Linked DNA regions of Lepisosteus oculatus. The protein of the gene in region 1 interacts with the protein of each later gene in a biochemical or structural test. Links are inferred from orthologs where the notes say so. Each region holds a gene or a part of one and is shown in the gene's direction. Other genes may lie near its edges.

Region 1 (10,701 bases):
ATGCAGTTTCTTAAACTAGAAGCTCTGACTTATTTTCATGTCAGAGAATAGCAGAAGCTGGTGGTGGCTATTGGCTGGAAGGTAGTTTGCTTCCACTAACATCAACTCTGGTCTCGTGGCAACAGAAAAGAGGAAGAAAGGATGAAAAAGGAGAAGGAAGACGAGGAGAAGAGCGAGCTGGAAAAGCTAAGGACCCTCGGCTACGACGAGACCAAGCTGGCGCCATGGCAACGGCAGATCATCTTAAAGAAAGGAGACATTGCAAAACAGTAAAGGCCTGCCTCTACTCTGACACTGCAAACCTCCCCCCCTGTCTTCACCAAACCTCCCTGTCTCCTGCTCTGAGGGGAGAACCCTCTTTTTGCCCCCTGGCCAGGGTCTGTTAGCTTGTAAACCTGGACTCTGAGAGTCTGTGGAGGGTATACATGCCTTGTGCTAGTGAGCACAGATGCACAGTACAAGACAGAAATGGTCATAGGCCCAGCATTGGATTAGCAGCCTCCATATTGTGCACCAACTTTGCACTCTACAGTCTCTTACATTGTTTAATAAGAATCATAGGAAGGTTCTACAGTGAGTACTTGCCTTTAGGTAGCATCCTGCTTCAAGACCTTTTTAGAAAAAACACTTCCTGTTAATCAAAGTACCGGCATGTTTACCGACGTGTAGGTTTTCCATTATAACCAGTTTCCAAGAAATGGAAATGCAAATAATAATTTTCAACCACTCCTCTGTGTTGTACGAATTGAAGCATTTTATCAAGAGAAGCAAATCTTTTAAAAAAAACTGCTGCGTAAGAAGCAAGCACTATCCTGCGGGGAAACGACTTGATTGGGTAGAGGCTAACGTGAGAGCATCTGTGCAGGTATAGGGCCTGGCTCCTGTCTTCCTATTTTGAGAAATACAGTGATGACCATATTATATGCACCCCATACTTTCTGAATATTAAGCTCTTACGGTGAAACCCAGATGTGCATGCAGTTTTAACAATTTAAAGAACTTTTGTATAAGAAACAATGGTGTATGACATGTTGTTCCTTACAGTACAGTGCCAGTATTATAGGGAGCAACACAACAGAAAAGACAGTTTGCAGTCTAGAATCCTTGCTTTTCCACAGGGAAAATGCAATGGTACAGCACTTGGCTGTACTGCCAAATTAACTGTATCATGAAGTGCAGTGAAGGTATCTCCTGATGAAAACTTATACCCCTTAAACTTGGCTATTGACCAACAGTTAAGAAACATCATATCAGTGTGCAAATCAGTCGTCTTTTAAAGCCACAAGAATTGCTGTCCTGTGTAGCAGCTCCGTTTCCAGAGGATGAGAAAGCTGGCTGACCCCTCAGCAGTTAAAGAGGTACTGAGTAAAAAGGTGAAATTGTTAATTCTTTATACTATATGCAGTTTGAACAGCAAAAAGAAACTGGAGCTTTTAAGACCAATAGTAAAAAAATAGCAGGCATAATTTAAATATCTCTGCATAAAATATTGTGTATTGTATGGATTGATAAAAAATTGAATTATGGTTTACTGAAAACTCAAATGCAACATTCTAGTTTATTATCTTTATAATCACACAAAGCAAAGCACAAAGCAAGAACACAAAGCAAAATGAAGGTGTAATTTCTAAGTTAATGACAAATTGGCCCCAACCTTATTGAATGACAGCAGAAGGCTTTATATTAATTAAAACCTCTTTCTTAGATAACAGACTATATAATCTAACATATATCGCATACAGTACGGTTGAGCAAATTCAGCAGCTGCACTGAACATCTGTATTCTTTCAAAACTCAGTTGAACAATTTCATTCTGTGGTGTCTGTCCCTATCTGACCGTTCAACAAAGTAATCTAATTTTAAATGAGCATAAGAACTGTTAACAGTAATACACCCTGTAAGCTTACATGTTAACCGTGCACCAAATTTTAATTCACTCCATGCTTTGGTTTCATAGATAATGGTTGTAGCACATACTTGATCTGTATGGGACCAAACAGAGGGGACAGATATGTCATAGAATATGGCTGGTGTACCTCACCCTTGGTTACAAAATGATTACAAAAGAGGTACCTGGGCAGCTGCACAGAAATGTGGTTCCATTTCGAAAGTTTTCCCAGTAACTGCCTGCAAGCTTTTCTTATTGCGTAGACCACTAGACTGTGCAAATTGAAACTTTAAACTATTTGCTGTAGGCATGAATCTGCCCACACCTCACGGGCCCAGAGAACTGCTGTATGAGTGTGTCTGAATGTTGTATATATGGGCTGATTTCCTGTGAACTGGCTGTAGCGCAGTAGGATAAATCAATGTGCTTTGGATGTAAATTTTTTGCAAATTAAAGATTATATAAATATATATAAAAACGTGCATGAAATAAAGGAAAATGTTTCCAAGTTTGGTAAATGTCTGGGAACATTTATCTCACCACATTGGATGCCATATTGATGTTGAAATATATATATATAAAGACGTTGTAGAACACCATTGCCATTAGTATTACTATATAGACTTGAACCCTAAATTCCCTGTGATGTTTCTTGATTCCGTTGTTACTTTTGTCAGCCTTGCTTATGTAGCATTTTGGTATATTTGTGTAAAAAACATTAAAGAAAAGAAAAAGGAGTTTTCTGACTGTCTCTTGCAATTCAATAAATTCAGAATCATACTTGTTATGCCTGGGAGATTCTGTAAAGAAAGAAGTTTTAAGCCGTTTGAATCAACTCAAGGCTTTGAATTTCTAGCCAGGAAGCAGACACCAAGTACACAAAGGTATGTATCAATACACACCAGAACTGTGGCTAAGCAGCCACGACGAATTATGCCATTCATAGTGATCGGAACCTTAAGAGCAAACATGGAATTGATGTCAAGTCAGTAAGGGTTTCCCTCTCCTCTCCACACTGTATTCCACTTTAGATGGCACCTTTGGCATGATTATGTCTTTGACCATGTTAATTACTAGTCAACAGCAAATCAAACTACATACTACATTCGAGTTCTTGATACTGGAGTATGGAAGTTTGTTGAGCTGTGTACTGTATTATTGTGCAGCCTCTCGGCTTCTTTTGAGTCCCAGTGCATCAGTTCTACACTCAAGACTGATTCAAGTAAGGTATATACTGTACGTAATTGGCAGATACTGTAAACTGCCTAATTTGTGCTTTATTAAAAAACTGGCTATTCATTTTGAAGTAGTAGTATATTTGCCATGTGAAAAGTGACACAGGCGTACAATATGGTTGTGCCTTTTGCACTGCATCTTTTTAAAACACATTTTTTAAACATGGTTTAAAAACACATTTGAAAGAGATAAAGCACATACTGTACACACAGAAGACTGGACATAAACTCTGAATTTTCATTTTTATTGCTTAATACTGAACTTGTACATGCAATCAAATGAACAGCAATGAGTGGCCGCAGCTTAAGTGTTTAAATGCATTGTTCTCTTTCACATCTAGGAAAAGACACTTTGTGTGTGAAGTATGTCTGCTTACTGGCCAGAGGCAGTTTAAACTGTTTGGATGTGCAGTGCGATACCTCTGCGAATTGTCTATAGCAGCCTTCCTTGTGCATGCACGAAATTGTAAGATTCTGTTTCCAAGAAATACCGCAGTTGCAATTAAAAGTTTTCTCAAAACAACTCAGAACAAGGAATCTTTAGATAAGGACAGTGATGTGGGGACAGTTTTACTCAAACAGAACTTCTAAACGCATTAATCCTGCTTTTGCTGATAAATTGTATCCAAAGAACATTTTAGTTGGCATGTTTTTTGCAAAATTGTGTTGAAGCCAATTTTTTGTGTACGCTTATGGAAAGACTTTAGGAATGGAAATGAGTCCAAGATGCCTGAGTGATACAGAGTTTCACCTATTAAATTTCTTCAAAACACCAAACTCAACATGCTATTGGTCCAAAGTAACAACTAGACAAGAAAACAATCATCAGACATGGGCATTTGGGCCTGTTTTTCTTTATACCATATGTTCCTGATTAAAACTAAAATAGTATTTGGCTAAAGTAATCTGAATACAGTTTATTTTTCTCAGTTTTGTTCAAAACTCCTCTCCTTCATTATTCACTAAGCTACACCTTAAACCATTCAATAGGTTAAACCTTTAGGACCCTTTTTCTCTTAACAGGCCAGTCACACACTGTCTATTAGTGTTGAGGCACACATTAGCATAATAAAGTTCAACAAAAAAGTAATGATAACTTCCACTTTCGGTGTAAGATTTTCCTTTATGCTGAAACCAGGACTTGAGTGATAATGAAGACTGTCACAAGTGTTGTAATGCACTCAATTTCAGCCTCATTCTGCTGTGTATATTTTTGTACATTATTTTTGTCACAGTTAAAACGAGATGTTGGGATAAACCTGAGTTCTTTTTTTAATATTAAGATTAGTTTTTTCACCTATCAAACAGGTTTGTACAGGTACAAAATGAGTTCTCCTTAACACCAATTTCAAAATACAATTCAACAAGGTCAACTATGTTTATTCAATTATTATTATACTGAAGTCAGCTTCTTCAATCTACCGTCTTTACAAGACACACTGGGACGGGAGATACTGTACAGCCTACCCAAGTCTCGACTTTTCTCTCAGTATGTCTATACAGAGACCAAACAACAGAGGGCGCGCATTCTTTAATAAAGCAAAACTGAAGTTAACTTCGTATACTGTATACGCTCACAAACGAATGAGCACGCCACTCATAAAATATCACATAAGCTTCGTTAAATATTGTTTATAGTTATTGGGAACGTGTATTAACGTGTATTCTAGTATATAGAAAGTAATATTACCTACATGACAAGTTGTCACTGCTATACCTACAACATCGAGGGCGATTTAGGAATTATACAGTATACACCTTTTTAGATACAGTACTAAAAGTGTAATACATGCACCCAATTTTTAGGATTGCAATTTAATATAACGTATGTCAGTTACAAACGGTGAACCAGGTATCACATCAACCACTCATGCCTATAATATGAACTATTTGTGAATCATATCAACATCACCATTTAGAAAGACTGGGGTTCAGCTTGATGGTCAAGATTCCGGTACAGAACCGACTTGCGTTCAGCCTAGCAAAACTGCGAATAAATCGCACTTGCCTTTATGAACCTAGTGCTAAATCCACAGATCCACATGCAGGAAACGGAACCACATGGTTTCACAAAATAAACCCCTCTTGGAAAATAATGTATTGTTTTAGAAGTCAATTTTGACTTCTAAAGTCAACCGTGGTTCAAGAATCCCAGATAAATCTAACACCGCCTGTGCCTCAAAAGGACGTTAATTCGCTGAATAATATCAGTCAAGTGCCTTACTGAGATCCAGTAGATAAGATACTTTGCGTGCACTTGCAAAAATCAAGGCTGCGCCCTTTTAGCTTGCAAACTGTTTACTCTGTGACAGGACACTGGCTAGGGGTAATATTTACAGTAACAGGTAGGCAGGTCGGCCGAGGCACACCTGGAGTGACGTCACCGGAGCAGTCTGACGGACAGTCGGGGAAGCAGATGGGAAGTTGGCGAGGCACGAAAGCAGCGCCGACTCGCCTTGTTTTTAATGAAAACACAAACTTTTGGACGCATCGCAAAAGGAGGCGAGACCCGCTGGACCGAGTTGCATAGAAAAAAGGTAAATAAACTCGACATCCGACAAACTGCAAATGACGGTTAAACGATTGACAGTTTACAGATCAAATCTTTTTTGTTTGTGTGTGTTTCGGGGTTTTTTCTGCCCTACAAAAACTTGTGACTTCTGGTGTCGTTTTCCGATGTTATTGGCGTGCAGAGTAAAGTGCGTTTTATTTACGGAGAAAAAAAATACGCCGCTTTGCAGAAAGATTAACGCAAGTAAAGACTGAGAGAATGGTTAATTAACGCGGTTCACCTGGAGTCAATCTGCAGGATATTTTTGTTCGTGGAAAAGCGAAAGCTCTCCTCTCGTGTGAAGACGTGTAGCACAGTGGGAAAGGTGGGATTACACTAGGTGTAGCAGACTGGAAAAACTCGACGTCCGTGTCCAAGATCACGGGGGGGACACACCTAGGGGATCATGTCTTTAGTGATGTCAATCGTCTGTTTTTATTTCTCTCTTTGCTGTCATTTCTTAATTAAAATACTATTTGCCATTTAATTACAATGGCTTGATTTTTTTTCTCGGGTATTAAACCGAAGGCATAACAAGACCAGTACAAAGTTCAGGGCACACTTGTATATTTACATACAGTATACCTGATAGGGCAGCTGAAAAGATCGGACTGGTTTCTAATCATTTTATCACCATTTGATTTCTAACTTGGATTCTAGGTCTGATGTCAAATGATGTCTGACACTTGTCCCGAAAACGTTTGTTTTAATACTAGTATTTCTGGTTCCTTGCACAGTCTGTGCGTGTGGTTTTATTCCTGATTGTTGCTGTCCCTGTTCAGCAGGACAGAGGAGGGGGGTATTCACCGGTGGGTGCGGGGGAGCAGACGGTGTCCAGGTCAGTGGGAGGGAGTTAGTAACCATCACGAGCTCCTCGCGATGACTGGGAAACCCCCCGCGTGGCAGCCGGTGTCGAGATAGTCATGCGAAGGGAGCGCAAAGTCTGCTGAATAAATCCGACTTTGTTAGTGCTCTCTCGTTTTTTAGATGCTTAAAAAGAATATACAGTGTTCTGAAACGCGTACTCCCTCGTTTTATCTATTCTTCTTAGTTTTTAGTCCCTTTGGAACGGGATGTTTGCATATGTCATGTAGCAGAAAGGAATGAGTGCTTTTCCTTGGTTTATCTGTATTTGGCTTCGTTCCTCTGAGGTTTTTTTTTATAATAGAGGACTTTTTGTTTTTATTTTGTCCCAGTTCCTAATATCAGGTAACTTTCACTGTTCAGAATGCAGCCCAGAATGTGTCTCTTACACATATTTGATCTTTCCCCCCCAAAGACACGGGACCTGACCTGCGTGTTTTTGTCTCTGCGCGCAGTATGACCAGCAGTATATTGTTCGCTTCTGGCTGAGAGACCCAGAGGTACAGCAAGCCGTGTGCCGAGTCTGGCAGGATGTATAGAAAATCAGGGCAGGGGCCGAGCAGCGGGATGTCTCAGCGCCGGTCTGATGGCTTCGTGGGAGATCAGGCTCCCCTCTTGTTGGAGAACCAGTTCGCCTCCGATCTGCAGCTGGACAGCCAATCCGGACCTCTGGTGAAGAGGGTCAGCCAGTCCCGGGGCTCTCCCCCACAACCCCACGTGACCGGCGCCCCCTCTGCTCAGGAGGAGAAGGCGGCAAAGGCCCAGATTGTTCTGAGCACCGAAAGCAAGGCCGCCCTGAAGCTGGGCACCCAGCAGATCATCCCCAAGAACCTGGCCGTGGCCAGCCGGACCAAGGTGCGCTACCACACCACCGTCGTCACCCTGCCAGTGCCCCTGGAGCCCGCGCAGGACAAGCGGGCCTCTGCCCCGGCTCTGGAGGTGTCCTGGGACGGCCACGAGAGTGACGAGGAGGACTGCACGCTGGCGAGGAACCGGCGGAACCAGTCGTACCGGGCCGCCGTGAAGAGCCTGGACAACGGCGCCCTGCCGCTGCCCGCCACGCTGTCCGCCCTCAAGCCCGTCTCGGAGGAGAAAGAGCCCGTCTCCCAGCCCCCGCGAAGCAGCGGCCGAAGCCCTGGCCGCAAGGTGAGGCCTGAGAATGGTTTCCCCGTTGCTGCGTGTGTATTTCCTGTCAAGAAAAAAAAAATGTGTGTTGGACGAAAAATCCTTTTTTTTTAATCAGATTTCTTTACACCGCCAAGTCCAGCCTGTCATGAAACGTCCGCAGCTGTATTCTGAAGCTGCTACTGCTCTGAACCTACAAAGTGAGAGCTTGCGGATACCCCATAGCTGTGTGAGCTGGCATAGCAAACCACAACCAAAAATCACAGTTGCGGGAAAAAAAACTGGTTTCTTGCAGCCTGTTGTGGCATGTTTCTTTCTGTGCACAGGGTAAAAGCACTGCGTTGTTTTAAATATAGAAACAAAGGACTGTACTTGTGTGCAGGACAGAGGACTGACACCTTCTAAAGAAAGCTCTCGTTCATGGGGTTTTGTATCTCTTGGATGGTCTATTTTGTAGCAGAGGTGGAGCAAACTGTCTCCTCTTAGGAGCTGATAAGGACCTAGGGTATGAATTCCTTCTCATAATGATGTATTTATTTCCTAGTTTGTCATGGACACATGTAGAAACAGGTCATGAACGATGCAACCCCTTGCAGGCGAATGTGGAGGTGCTGTCCTCCTCTGTTTTTGTCAGAGTCTCTGCCTTGGTGTGTCACCCAAACTGTGCTAGCTGGAGGACTCCGATCACAAGAGCTTTGCGTTGCGCAATTTTGCGTTGTGGTGTGGGAGAGCAAGGAGGCAAAGGTTATGGCTTGGAGAAATAAAGCAATTGTACATTAAGAAATTCAGCAGTGTAACATTGCTGTTAGGTTACTGGTGACTCTTTAGTCCTTAGTTTTTGTCAGTTGCAATGCAAGACTTGGGCATTTTAAGCTAGTCCTGTTTGTTCATCCCTGGAGTGAGAGACACTGGCCCATGGATCCCATCAGAGGCTGTGGCACATGAGGTTAGACACTGTGCTGTAAGAGCTGGATCTGACGTTAAGAAATGTTATATTTCTATATTCCACTTTCGACATGCTCGGCCCCTCTATCTTAAATGTCCTGGTTGAGCTCAGCACTTCAGAAATGAATGAAGTGGGTCTTCTCAGTGTGAACAAGTTTGAATCCCTTGGAATTATACAAATGAAAGCCATTTTTGTCCTTAACAATATTTCAAGCCATTTTTGAGTAATTCTTACTGTCAGGACCTATTCCAGGGCTCCCAAGTGCTTAAATGTGTTTTGCTGTGTGCACATACTGTATTTCAAAGGAAAGGAATTAAAGTAGATGCCTGGCTTCATCAGTTAAAACTCCAAGATGTGGTTTTTGAAAATTTGAAGCCCTAAAAGCAGCACAAGCCTCTCAGTCAGCCTTCGTATTCTCCCTCTTGCTTGCAATAAGTCACTGTTACTATGGGAGGAGGAGACGGCGAAAATTTTAAATAGAATGAGAATACAGTGATGATGCTTTATTTCCAGGACGGTTTCCTTCCTGTTTTATTCTGATGCCGATTAAAGCTTACTATTCTCACATCCCCACTTCTATAAACTGAGAGAGCGGCTAGTTTTTTTGAGAGGGGGTGGGGGGGTGGGGGGATTAGGAAGTGGAAATAAACTCCACATCCTAAAAAAATGGATGCATCTCCAAAAAGAAGAGGCATAATGCATGCTACTTACTCATAGCTGGGCTGTGGCCATGCCATGGAGCCTCTTGTATACCTGACTGGTAAACTGGTGCTGCTGCTGTCTTTCATGCAGAGAACCCTGGGACGGAAGAGGAACACGAAGCACAGCGGCTCTTTCAAAGATGGTACGTGACCCTTGTGTTTTAGGGGTGGGGTGTGGGCATCATGCGGGTGGGCTGTCCTTGGAAAGATGAGAGAACTTTAGTTAACTTGTAAAACACCAAATGGTGTTTGACATGTTGGTACTAATTGAGGGTTCCATAACCATTTTCTGTATTCTGTGGTTTTACCATGATTTGGTGAAAGTTTTGGAGTATAAAGGGAGATCTCCTTCTTCTCATAAACACTCCACTTTCATAATAAGAACACCAAGTAAGAGTTCCACAATTGAAGGGCTACTATGTTTCTAGTTTGGGTTCTTTCAGCGATTATTTTCCTGTTAATTTGAAGTGAAGTTAGAACAGGGGTACCAGTTCACAGTAAATCGTGGAACAGCTGTTGCCTTGGAGTTTAATTTTTGAAACTGGGTTTTGTGTTAGTGAGAAGTTGACCAAGTAAATCGCTCTGCTTTGCCTGTGTGACGCCTTTTCACTATCTAGTGAATTGGACTCTTGCAGATGTTCTGTGTACGGCCAGGGTTGAGCACCTCAGTGGTTCTGATTGGCTGTCAGAAACCAGATATCACTCAGTTTACGACCAATCCGCTCGCCACGCCCCAAGCAGACCCTGTCTGTAGAACTTTCACACCAATGATGATGTCACAGTCATGATGAGAGGCACATCAACACTGACCAGTCAGCTTCCTGTTGGATTTTAACATTACGATTGAAGCATGTCAGGGAGGACTTTAAAAACTCAGTTACTAGAGAGCACGTGCATCTGCAATCCACGACTTTGAGCAGCTCAGAATTCTTCATTTTAAAGAACTATTTATGAATTACAGTGAGATTTCAGACTTTGTGAAAGGAAGATATATATATTAATAGGAATTTTCTAAATGGAATATTTACCACGATGTGTGTTCCTCTAATGAATCATCATACATGCTGAGCAGTCTGGCTGTTAAGCTGAGGCACCATACAGTAGCTGCAGAGCTCGCACTGCTTTGGCAATGGAATATTTTAAGCCTGCCTGCCATCACTGACTGGGTGATTTGAATGAGAAACTGGTTCTGGACGGGAGGTGTCAGATGTTGCAGTGGAGTGTCACCTCCCTGCGCGAGGCGGCAGGGAGCTGGTGATCACACGGAGAGGGGGGGGTTGTTCTTTTCCACCCCCGCGTGGCGCGGGACACCAGGGGCAGCGGGCCCATGGGTGAGGCGTGGCGGCGTCTGTCGCTGGCCACCAGCTCCCTGCAGCTGTCCCTGGACTTCG
Region 2 (10,593 bases), on another chromosome or scaffold:
GGCTACATGCATGATTGAGAAAACTGTATAGAAATCTACTGTATCAAAACACAATTACACAGCGGACTTATTTAATTGAACAGTGTGATATGGGAGATGGGACCATTGCAATATAATTCTAATAGTCCCTGAGTCCAAATTAAAGTTTAATCTGTAATTTTCTAAATCATCTTCAAAATGTTCTTCAGAAAAAAAAGAGAACCCTTGTGACCCCAAAACCTTACGTTACTGTTACAAACAGAACATGCTGCACAGCTGCAATCATTTCGACAAGTGAAAAAAAAACTTTTTGCTCCAGACTAGCAGTAGGCTGCTCTTTTAATAAATAAGCACAAGTGCACTTGATAAGCTTATCAGAGATGCACCCTTTCCAGAGTTAAAGTTGGTAAAGTACTTTCTAAAAGACTATTAACCAAACAGAGAGACGACAACACTAAGAGGCATTGTAATAAAAAGGGCATGGTGTGATGGTGCTTGCTGTTAGCCTGAGAGTCCAGGACAACATCTATGGCTGTATAAATGGCAAATCTGGCATCTGGAGCATCATGCGGAAGGCAATAGCAGGCAGCAGTATTTTATTCCAGGCCGTCAGGTTTGTCTTGTTTCCAGGGGAGGGGTTGCTGCTGACCTGAGGAAATCTGGGGCGCGCACGATCATGTGCTGGAAGTCCTCCAGGGACAGACGCCCGTCGTTGTCCAGGTCGGCCTCGTCGATGACCTTCTCGCACACCAGCCGCACCTCCTCCGGGGTGAGCTCGTTGCGGGTGAGCTTGTTCAGCGTTTTCTCCAGGTCGGACTTGCAGATGAAGTCATCGTTATTGAAGTCTGAGAGCAGAGGAGGGGGAAGGGGGGGTGGAGGGAGAAATCTGGCGTGACTCCCCAGGGAGAAAAAAACCATGACATCGAGCAAATGTTATTCAGCTTGCGCTGGTGGTCCCTTGCTGAACTGGACACTCTGGCTTCATGTCTAACATGAAGCTTGAACCTCCAGGAATATCACCTGGAGGTGTTTGCCAGAGTTAAATCACTTAGACTGAGTGAAGGCTGCTCTAGTACTTTAAGTGTATGGGGTGGAATGGTGGCACAGTGGTTAGTGCTGGGGCCCTGGGTTCAATTCTAGACCTGGGGTACTGTCTGTGTGGAGTTTGCAAGTTCTCCTCACGTGTGCGTGTCTGTGTCTCTCTTGCAATGGACTGGCGTCCCCTCCAGGGTGTGTCCTGCCTTGCCGGGTCCCTGAATTGGATATAGCAGTTGGGACGTGGATGGATATAGCTACAGATGGACACAAATCACTGCAGCTACATCTGTCCAGCAAGAAGAACCGCTCACTTTCAGGTCTCTATTAGTCCATCGCCATTTGACATTAAACAGTTTTGTCTTTGTCTGGACGCACTAACCAGGTGTGTTTCAAAGAAACTAGCAAGCTGGAAATGTTATGCCTGAAAATTCACCAGCAGCAGACTTTTCCTCGACGTCATCACTGTCACACATCGTAAATTGTTTTATAATTCGATTTATTTTAAAGTCCTTGCATGTTATCATATATTAGACATATGAAGTCTCTCTACACGAGGGCGTCTTCTAAGCCAATAAATAATAAACTTGATACTCCTCGTAAATTAAGTGACAAAATCAGTAATTCACTGCCATGGCATTGTAGCTCATTTGTAAGCCTAGCTACTGCGGCCCTGCTCTCTTTTCTTTTAACTCGTCTGAATAATACATGAAAACTTTCTTTGACCCATGACCATGGCCCCGTGCTGTAAAACAGCGTGATCTGTCAGCGTGTTTTAATTAGAAAACGCTGGCACACCAGCACACAGCAGCCTTTCAGAACCGAGCCTTTCATATAACGGGCTCATCAATTATTCCTGAATGGCTTTCTATTGTCTGTTCTTTTCAGGTTGTCTCAGTTAAAGCTCTGAGTATCTTTGGCTCCTTTTGCTTTGTTGCGCTATAGGCAGTGGGGGGCACCACCGAGTGGTCTATCTTGGAAGTAGTTATCTACTTCCTAGCATGCTAAGGAAATTTTAAAATCGTTGGGTATGCTGAAGAGTTTGTATAATTGGAAAAATGGCTTCTCTTCCACAAATCACATTTGTAAGCACGGCAATACTAAAGTTAAAGCATTTAACTTGGACAGCTCTTTATCCTATTCTTGACTGGAAAACGTCTATAACTTACATGAATCACGCTTGGAGACAATTAACGTGAGAAAAATCGGATGAGCCCTTATCAGTCAAGTTGGGTAGAAATGAAAGTTTGATTGCTACTGTAGAGGTGATATCTGCAAAATAAAAGTTTCTTCAAATGAAAGGTAGACCACATTTGGAAAAGTATATAAAATAAAAGCCCATAAACATATGTATTTGTCTTCTACTGAGATCTACTCCCCCTAACTCATGTTGTATATATCTTTTACAAACAAATTGCAATGGACCAGGACTAACCATAAATTTTAAAAGCATAATATGCTTTCAGATCCCTTGGTGCCATTTCACTCAGTACAGAGAACATGTCCAGGAAGTCATCTAGGGTCATATTTCCCTCTCCGTCTTCAGAGAAAACCTCAGCTATTCTCTGGCGGAAAGGGTTGTCCTGCAATTTGCAAAAAAGACATCTGTTTAATTAACTACCACCCTGAATCACTCACAACCATCTGAAGTACTGCACATCCTTTTTTAATGACCAGTCCTGTAGAGAAATGTATTGATTAGTTTTGTTTGCTTTTACCAGAACAACAGAGACAAAGCATACCTCCCATGCTCACCTGCACACAACTTATCTATTACAGGTTCTACCAAAAATGTTTTTAGCAAACTATTGGTCTAATATTTTTGCAAACGTTTCTCTATCTGCAAAGGGATTTTGGCAGATGATTAAGGGTGTATTTGCTCACTAATAATGCTGATCTTTTCCACGGTGCAAATGCCCACAAGAGCAGCCCTGTACTGTGTGTGAAGTGCCAGACAATAGCTGCTATTGCCAGGAGCACAAGCTGTGCAATATAACTTTCTTCAGGTGTACAGGGATCAAGTTACTCATAACCTCTCCAAGGCTCCTGTCAATTAGTAGGCGATGAATAATTGATTGTGTCCCCAGGAGCATGGCATGGACATCCTTCACCAGCACAATCGGTGGGCGTACCTTCAACTCTGGCATGCTGCCAATCAGCTCGTATGGTATCTTGACATCTGGGTTGCTGGTGTAGTCGAGTGGAACAAGCTGTGGTGCCAGGTCCCGGTAGCGATGAAACAGCCTAGGGACATTAGTACATGACACAAGGATACATCATAATCATAATATCCTTAGACTTACATAGTGCCTGTCTAGACACTCCACTCAAAGCACCTTACAGGTAATGGGGAGTCCCCTCCATCACCCCCAGTGTGTAGCCCCCACCCGGATGATGTGATGGCAGCCAAAGTGCGCCAGTACTCTCAACACCCATCAGCTCTCAGTGGGGAGGAGAGCAGAGTGATGAAGCCAGTTCAGAAATGGGGATTATTAGGAGGCCATGATTGGTAAGGGCCAGGGGGAAATTTGGGCAGGACACCATTTAGTCTAAACTAAATGGACTACACAAGCACTATATTTAGAAGAACGGCTTGGAAGCCATTCAGTTCTGTTCAGGATTTAGGACGACAATCAAAATCCATTTAATTCTGCAAATGTCATTGAACATCAAACCCAGAGAACTGAATTTTTACTGATGAGCTAAATCAACTTTGTGCAAAGGATTCTAATGTAAAAGAAATTAATTTAAAATAATGTTCTGCATGCAGGTCAATGGTTCAACCTAATGTCTTTAGCTCCTGAATTGACAGACAGACTATATTTCATTGTCTTTCTTTTACTGAAAGGTAAATATAAACTATGTTCAAATAAAATTTGTCCTTGTGGTTGTTTTGAACAAAGATTTTGAAAGAGTTTATTTTTTTCTCTCAATGAAATTGCAAAATGTTTTTTTCTGTATTTTGTTCTCTTAACAGAAATGCCTCACAACTTCGCTGTGTCACATTCCACATGAACAAAAAGGATTTACTTCATTAACCTTGTTTATTATCAAAGGTGAGCCATTTTTCTTACCTCAGGATTTCTTTTCTGGTGAAAAATGTACAGTCCTAGAAAAACAACAAAGATAAAAACTATTTGAACTATAGAGAATGCTTGTCTGTTCATCATATTGGCATAACTTCACTTATGTGATACGCATGCTTCATGTATGTGACATTAGCATTTTTTATTACATCTCCATTATAAGGCAAAACCACAATACAAGACACTTGAAGACTCAACGGATGAAAAGTTGTTTATTTCTTATTACCTTTCTACATAATAACATAAAAACAGTTACTTACAGAACGCTATTCAAGAACATTTAATTAACAGTTAATTTATATCATCCTGCCATTCCTTGAAATAAGCCAGAATTTCCCGAATAATGTTGTTCTGAAGAACTCTGCTGGGTTATCTTTGTCAGAATTTTGAATACTTGTATCAGGTCACCTCATACTCTTCTCTGTTTAAGACTAAAGAGGTTCAGTTCTTTCAGCTTGTCAGTGTACAACATCTCCTTAAGACCCAAAATGTATCTAGTTGCTCTTCTCTGGACTGATACCAAACCAGCTCATCAGTAAATAATGCTGGATGAATATGTACCAGCAGCCTTTCGGCACAGTCATGCTGCAGAGCTAACAGAGGAAGAAATTAATCATATTTCCTCTTCAGCAACCCTCTTTGTTAATGGAACAAAGACCCTGCCATAATCCGGCCTTGCTTGACACTGGCGCTAACCCTTCGGACTGTGGTGAACAAGAATGGCCATTTACTTCGAATGAGCAGTCAATTCTTTAACCGAGGCTGCAAACTTTCCTTTCAAACCACTGGCATTTACAAATGGAGGGATTGCTGGCTAGAACATACAGCTTTGTAATTTAGAAATGAGGACTGCTACTCCACACTCCACACATCCCTTGCTAATACAAGCAGGTCCATTCAAAAGTGAAAGGCGCAGTGCACAGAAATAATCAATCCCAGAAAGACAGGTGTCATCCTTACTGCTTGTTTTTAAACTTATATGAAATGCTCAGCCTTCACAACCCAGTTAGAAAAAGATCCAATGCAATTGTATTGCATCTGGGTGGAGCAGGTTGCTATACTTTGCTGATAGTAATAACTGTTGGCACAAAACAGATATTTACAGTGGTTTCAGAAAGTGCTCACTCACGACTTATTTGAAAGATTCACACCGTAGAACATTGTGTCTTTGAAAGTGGGTTCACAGGTAAAGTGTACAGAAAGAGAAGTTGCTCCAATCTGCAAAGTGCAGCCCTGAATAAGAATAATCATGAGAGTTCAAAGAACATCCCGCTGAGAGACAATAAATTAGAACCAACCTGATAGGCATCTAGCTGCTGTGTTGTAAAGATGGTCTGTTTGTTCCCCATCCTTGTGCAAACTCCCCGTGCCTCAGTGCCATTGCAGTGTTCCACCCAACAGCCTTTTATAAGACCTCTGGATATTTCAGATATGAAAATACTGGAACAAAAGGAGCCCTGAAACAGTGGGAGATCAGGTATCCTTTGCCACGCGCCCCTTTAGTTCACCATCATAATAGGAGCATTTCATCGATTTCTCTGATCTGAATAGAAGCCCCTTTAAAATGAACTAGGGCTGGCGTCCAGCATGATTCAGACTCATATCAACGCCAAGTGCTCCCCAGCGTGATGTTCCTACCTCGCACTCACCCCTGTCTCACGTTACAGCCTCTAAATGGTCTTTACAGACAGTGCATCAGGTCTCGTCAACCTGGTGTGCTGACGTTTGTCCACAACAGCAAGCAGTACTTGTATACTTGTATCGTGTTTGTGTCATGTTGTGTCCATCCCAGATGTACAGATGTCATTTAACTAACTCTAGTGCTGTTTAAGAGCTGTGCGCTGTCCCTGTTCAATAAACTGGGTGACATCCTTAGGGTGCGTGATGGGCCAGAGGGCAGGTTTTTTTAATGTACCTTGTACAAATAAAAAGAAAAAGAGACCCAGAAGGAAGGGATTTAAAAGGTCTGCAGCTGAATAACATCAGAATTACTTTGAATGCATAAGAAAAATAAACGTGCTTCTTAACAAAACTTGACGAATACATTAATTCCTTGTACCGTTTGAACACTAAACGTTTATTTGTGCAATTTTGTAACTTCAAACTCCAAATAAACATGAGGAGGGATCTTCCAGAATTGTGAAATTGAGCAAAGATTTTTTAATACATTGGCGTCCTTTAAAATTGCAAGGACATTTCCATTAATATAAACAAGACTGCAGTTTAAATTCCAGTTAAATCAACAGCACTTTACTGTGAAGTTTCACGGTAGTGCTTAGTTTTTTATTAAGAGTCTGTATAAATCGGGACGATCGACTTAATTTCCAACACCAACAGTAGGGAGCATTACCTCATCTTTATACGCCCAACCTGGAGCCGAGTCATGAATTATTCACAAAGTCTGCTCATGAATAAGGAAAGTGGTGCTTTAATTGTATTTATCCCTTGTTCGGCTGAGGGCTGTGCCTTTTTTACGGAGTGAGGCGATTTTTATTGTATTTGGTTTACAATGTCTTTTATTCCAGGACAGCCAGTTACAGCGGTAGTGGTAAGTTTCTCTAACAAGAAAACTTTCTTTTGCTTTTCCGTGCATCATCCATAGCGGCTATGGAGCTATTTGAAGGGAATATTTTGTAGGCCTTACAAAGCCTCGGTCTTGCGTATCAAGTTGAAGCCACGGGGGGAAACGCAGAAATCCCTTTGTAGAGCTGTTACGTTGGGGTGCGAGTACGAAAAAATTTTAAATGTATTGTTGCGTGACTAAAGTAATCTACTTTTAACATAAAAAATAACATCCATGGTTTTTACGCGCACGAGTTGTAAAAACTAACATTGGTGTAAATGACTAGTTCAATGCAAACTTGAATGAGAAATTTTATTTTTTGTAAAAGAAAGTGAGTTTTTGTCGTCGTAATTTTATTCACATCATTAGTAGTATGTGTTTGATGCGTTATTGATTTTTACTTAGTAGAACATTTCTGAAAAAAAATTCTGTCTCCTTTGCTTCGGCTCTTTTTGAGAAATCACGGTTCCTTTAAATTTTAAAGGGTACCATCCGCACCCGTGTACTACTACATACATACGGATAACCTGCACTGTATTCTGTATGAAAAGTTTGTGAATTTGAAAGAATTAAAACTTTTATAGAATGCAAAACCTATACAATACAATTATAAATTAATAATACAATTAAGGCTATTTGCTTTGTGGTTATAACAGATGTGCATTCGTTTTAAGTAATTGATCCGATTTTTTTCAACTACAACTACTTACGGTAAATGGTTTCCCCGCGTGTTTACGAAGTGGGTGTATGAGTGAGTTTTTATCATAGTTTGCTCGTCAGGTTTCACGGAACTACAGTATCAAGAAATACATTTTTAATGGCGTGCGGCTATTTTTACCCGTGTTAATTTGTTACACCTGTTTGAATGAAAAATCCTCATATAGATATGAGTACTTGTAGGTTACAGACAATTCCCTATTCGTTTTAATCGTCTTTTCACCAGATGTGGAAAAGACTTACAGACAGTATAGCAATTGTAGCAGAAAATGTATTTTTTTCCCACTGCTGAGTGCATGTTAACTGTTAACCAACAATTCAGTGAATTATTCTATATATGTAATTCTATATATTGCTCAAAAAACATTTGACCGCCTAACAATTTGTTAGTTGTTACTGACACACCTGTCGGCAAAGAGGTGCTCTGAGAAATTCCTCGATGTATTAATTTAGCAGCAATTCTGGTCAGCGTATTTCACGAACTTCAATGAAGAACTGTAACAGCAACATCTGTATCAATTACCTTTTTCGTATTATTCATTCAACATATGTCCAGCTGTTTCATCAAAATGAACGTATGACACTGTTAGCACAAACTGTACTGTGGATTAAACTGTGTTTGCTTACTCGTTATTAAAGAGACCAATCGTAAAAAGCACCCTTATAATGTGAAGGGGAGACCACTTTGTACACACACAGACACACAGTAACTAAGTGGAGAGTTAAGAAAGCATTTTCTAGCTTTTCTCATCTAAACAAATTGACTGATATGGAGAAACTGACAAATTTGTTTCTATTCAAGGTTCCAGCTTTGGGTTTTTAAATATTGAAGGAATGAAGAACCAAGAGCACTGTAGGTGCTGTAGAAGGCTTTATGTATGGTATTTTTTATAGTAAGATCTAAGAAGCCTTGAACCTCGTGTCACCTTGGCAACACACTATTTAAACAACAGTATTGCTAATACACGGAGAGATTCATCCTGTTCACCATGTCAGTACATGAGCTGGCAAACTGCTGGGGTGTGTGACTGACGCCACAGGACATGCTGTTATCCAGGGTCAGTGGGGGCAGATATTACATACGGATGTTGTTTGTATTAGCACGTGCTCACACGATGAAACATGCGATTTTTAGTAAATATTAGAGGAGAAAAGGCATGCAGAATAGAAAAGATATAGGAAGACCTCTTCATATTCTGTGCTTTTGCTGTGTGAGTTACAAGTGAGCACCCCGAGGTCCTTACAAAGAATCTGAATTTAAGTTTTTCAAACTGAGATCCATCCTTCCATTTTCTCATCCATTTAAGATGAACATGGTTGTAGGGAGAGCTGGAAGTTACCCTGGCAAGCAACTGGCACAAGGTGAGATACTGTTCACCTGGATGGCTCCATTTCAGGGCACACACACTCAGAGCAGGGCCAATTTTACAGAAGCCAGTAGACCTACTGTACCAGTATGTCTTTGGACTGTGGGAGGAAACCGGAGCACAAAGTGGAAACCCATGCAAGAACATGTGTTATAAACTCCATGTAGTTAGTACCCCCAGGAATTGAATCCGGGTCCCCAGCGGTTAGCATTGTGAGGTAGCAAACCTAACCATTGTACCACTGTGCTGTCCTCAAACTGAGATATTGAAAAATTTTTTTTTTCATCCACAATCTGGGACACTGTAGTGTTTGAAGCTGTTATTATTTTTATAAGCTTCCTCACATGCATTTATATTGATTTAATTAAAAGGAGTATTTTATAACAATAGAATCTTAAGAGTAACTTCCTGGAAAAGTATTTTAGCTTTGATTGCAAGTACAATAACATATTAAAGAAAGCCAGATGTGAGTGCTAACATTCCAGGTCACACTTAGAAGAAAGAACTTTCATGTTTGCACATCCCAGTCTGATTAGTAAATACAGATATTACACTTTCTGCTGCAGTGCATTGACTGGGTTCCCTCTGAACATGCAGTGAAGTTGACTTCAGACCATCGTAATATGATGAGGGTACTCATGTGTTTTATTGTGTTTCCCAGTTTTCATATGTATTCAGACAACTTTTAAAATGCTGAAAATGCAACTAACAAGTCTGCAAAGTGTTCAGTTCTATCAAGAACCTTGAATTAGATTACTTGATGTATTAAGATAGTGTTAGCTTTCATAGGACTTGAAAATAAGACTTTTGGGTAGATTTGCTATAGGACATGCTGCATGTTATTTCTTTATATTAATGAAGATGCCAGGACATTGCAAAACATTCTCAACAGGATAAGCTAATGATGGCGTTCTTTAAATAGCCAATAGCCTCACTGCAGATTGCCGAGTCCTTGATATTACACATAAGGAGAGGAATGTGAGATAACTGATAAGAAGTTAAATTAACACGTCATAGTCCCAGAACTGGTTTTAGTGCCCTTGTATAGATTATTTAAATATTGCATTGGAGTGAAAAAAGCATTTTCAATATTTAGTTAATCCGCTTTTTGTGAATTGATGTTTCTTAGTTTATCCACAGAGATAGATACAGACTCATCATTCCATTAGATGCTAACATAACTAGTGTGAAGATTGTCAAGTTATGTGATGATATATGGTATTTCAGTAAAGAGTTTTATTTCTTCTCAGTCAGAACAATACATTTTAACAACAGTTAATATAAAAACAAAGAATAGAGCCCAGCTCTTCTAGTCTCTGGCTCAATCTTTTTCTACTGTCCTTATAACTGTCAGCCACACAGCATCTGCTTCTTGCATTATTTTGCTATTAAAAGAGCTTTGTTCGTCACATCGAGCAAACAAACAAAGCACATTACGGATTTTAATCCTAAACTAGTGTGAAGAGTCTAGTAGCTCTCAGCTTGTCAAAAAGTCTCAAACTACTTGAACTACCCGCCTGTCCGAGGTTATCTAAGGGGTTGATGAGTTACAGATAAAGACAACTGAAGAAGTTCTTCTTCTGCCTTTTGGGTGCCAGATGTTATCAGAGAGCGAGACAGACAATAATAAAAGGAACCAAATCAACAAGTTCAACATAATTGGCATAGTTACTGATGAACAGAATGCCAGATGTTTATATGGACTTGATTATCACATATAGGCCTGCTTTGTGTACTGAAATGCCACAGATGCTGCCAAGAGACTGCATCTGTCTCTGTTGCCGAAGAGCTTATTTTTTCCTCCGGTATTTGAGCAGTTGGAGGGTAAATGACTCAAAGGTCTGAC

The links.
Region 2: the proteins of arhgef16 (region 1) and tax1bp3 form a complex in vitro, tested with the Homo sapiens proteins (2 studies listed by BioGRID and IntAct, with this or other methods). The link is inferred for Lepisosteus oculatus from reciprocal best matches to the Homo sapiens genes ARHGEF16 and TAX1BP3.

Annotation. Positions count from the first base shown.
Region 1 is NC_090720.1:5,495,711-5,506,411, forward strand, and holds the start of arhgef16 (rho guanine nucleotide exchange factor 16), read left to right. Parts: upstream 1-5,395; 5' UTR 5,396-5,660; intron 5,661-6,953; 5' UTR 6,954-7,069; coding exon 7,070-7,684; intron 7,685-9,401; coding exon 9,402-9,453; intron 9,454-10,701. Other genes in the region: espn (espin), read left to right, coding at 126-273. UniProt on the Homo sapiens protein: Guanyl-nucleotide exchange factor of the RHOG GTPase stimulating the exchange of RHOG-associated GDP for GTP. May play a role in chemotactic cell migration by mediating the activation of RAC1 by EPHA2.
Region 2 is NC_090724.1:5,142,154-5,152,746, reverse strand, and holds the start of tax1bp3 (tax1-binding protein 3), read left to right. Parts: upstream 1-6,429; 5' UTR 6,430-6,609; coding exon 6,610-6,648; intron 6,649-10,593. Other genes in the region: calcium and integrin-binding family member 3, read right to left, coding at 629-824, 2,450-2,597, 3,147-3,258, 4,089-4,123, 5,399-5,449. UniProt on the Homo sapiens protein: May regulate a number of protein-protein interactions by competing for PDZ domain binding sites. Binds CTNNB1 and may thereby act as an inhibitor of the Wnt signaling pathway. Competes with LIN7A for KCNJ4 binding, and thereby promotes KCNJ4 internalization.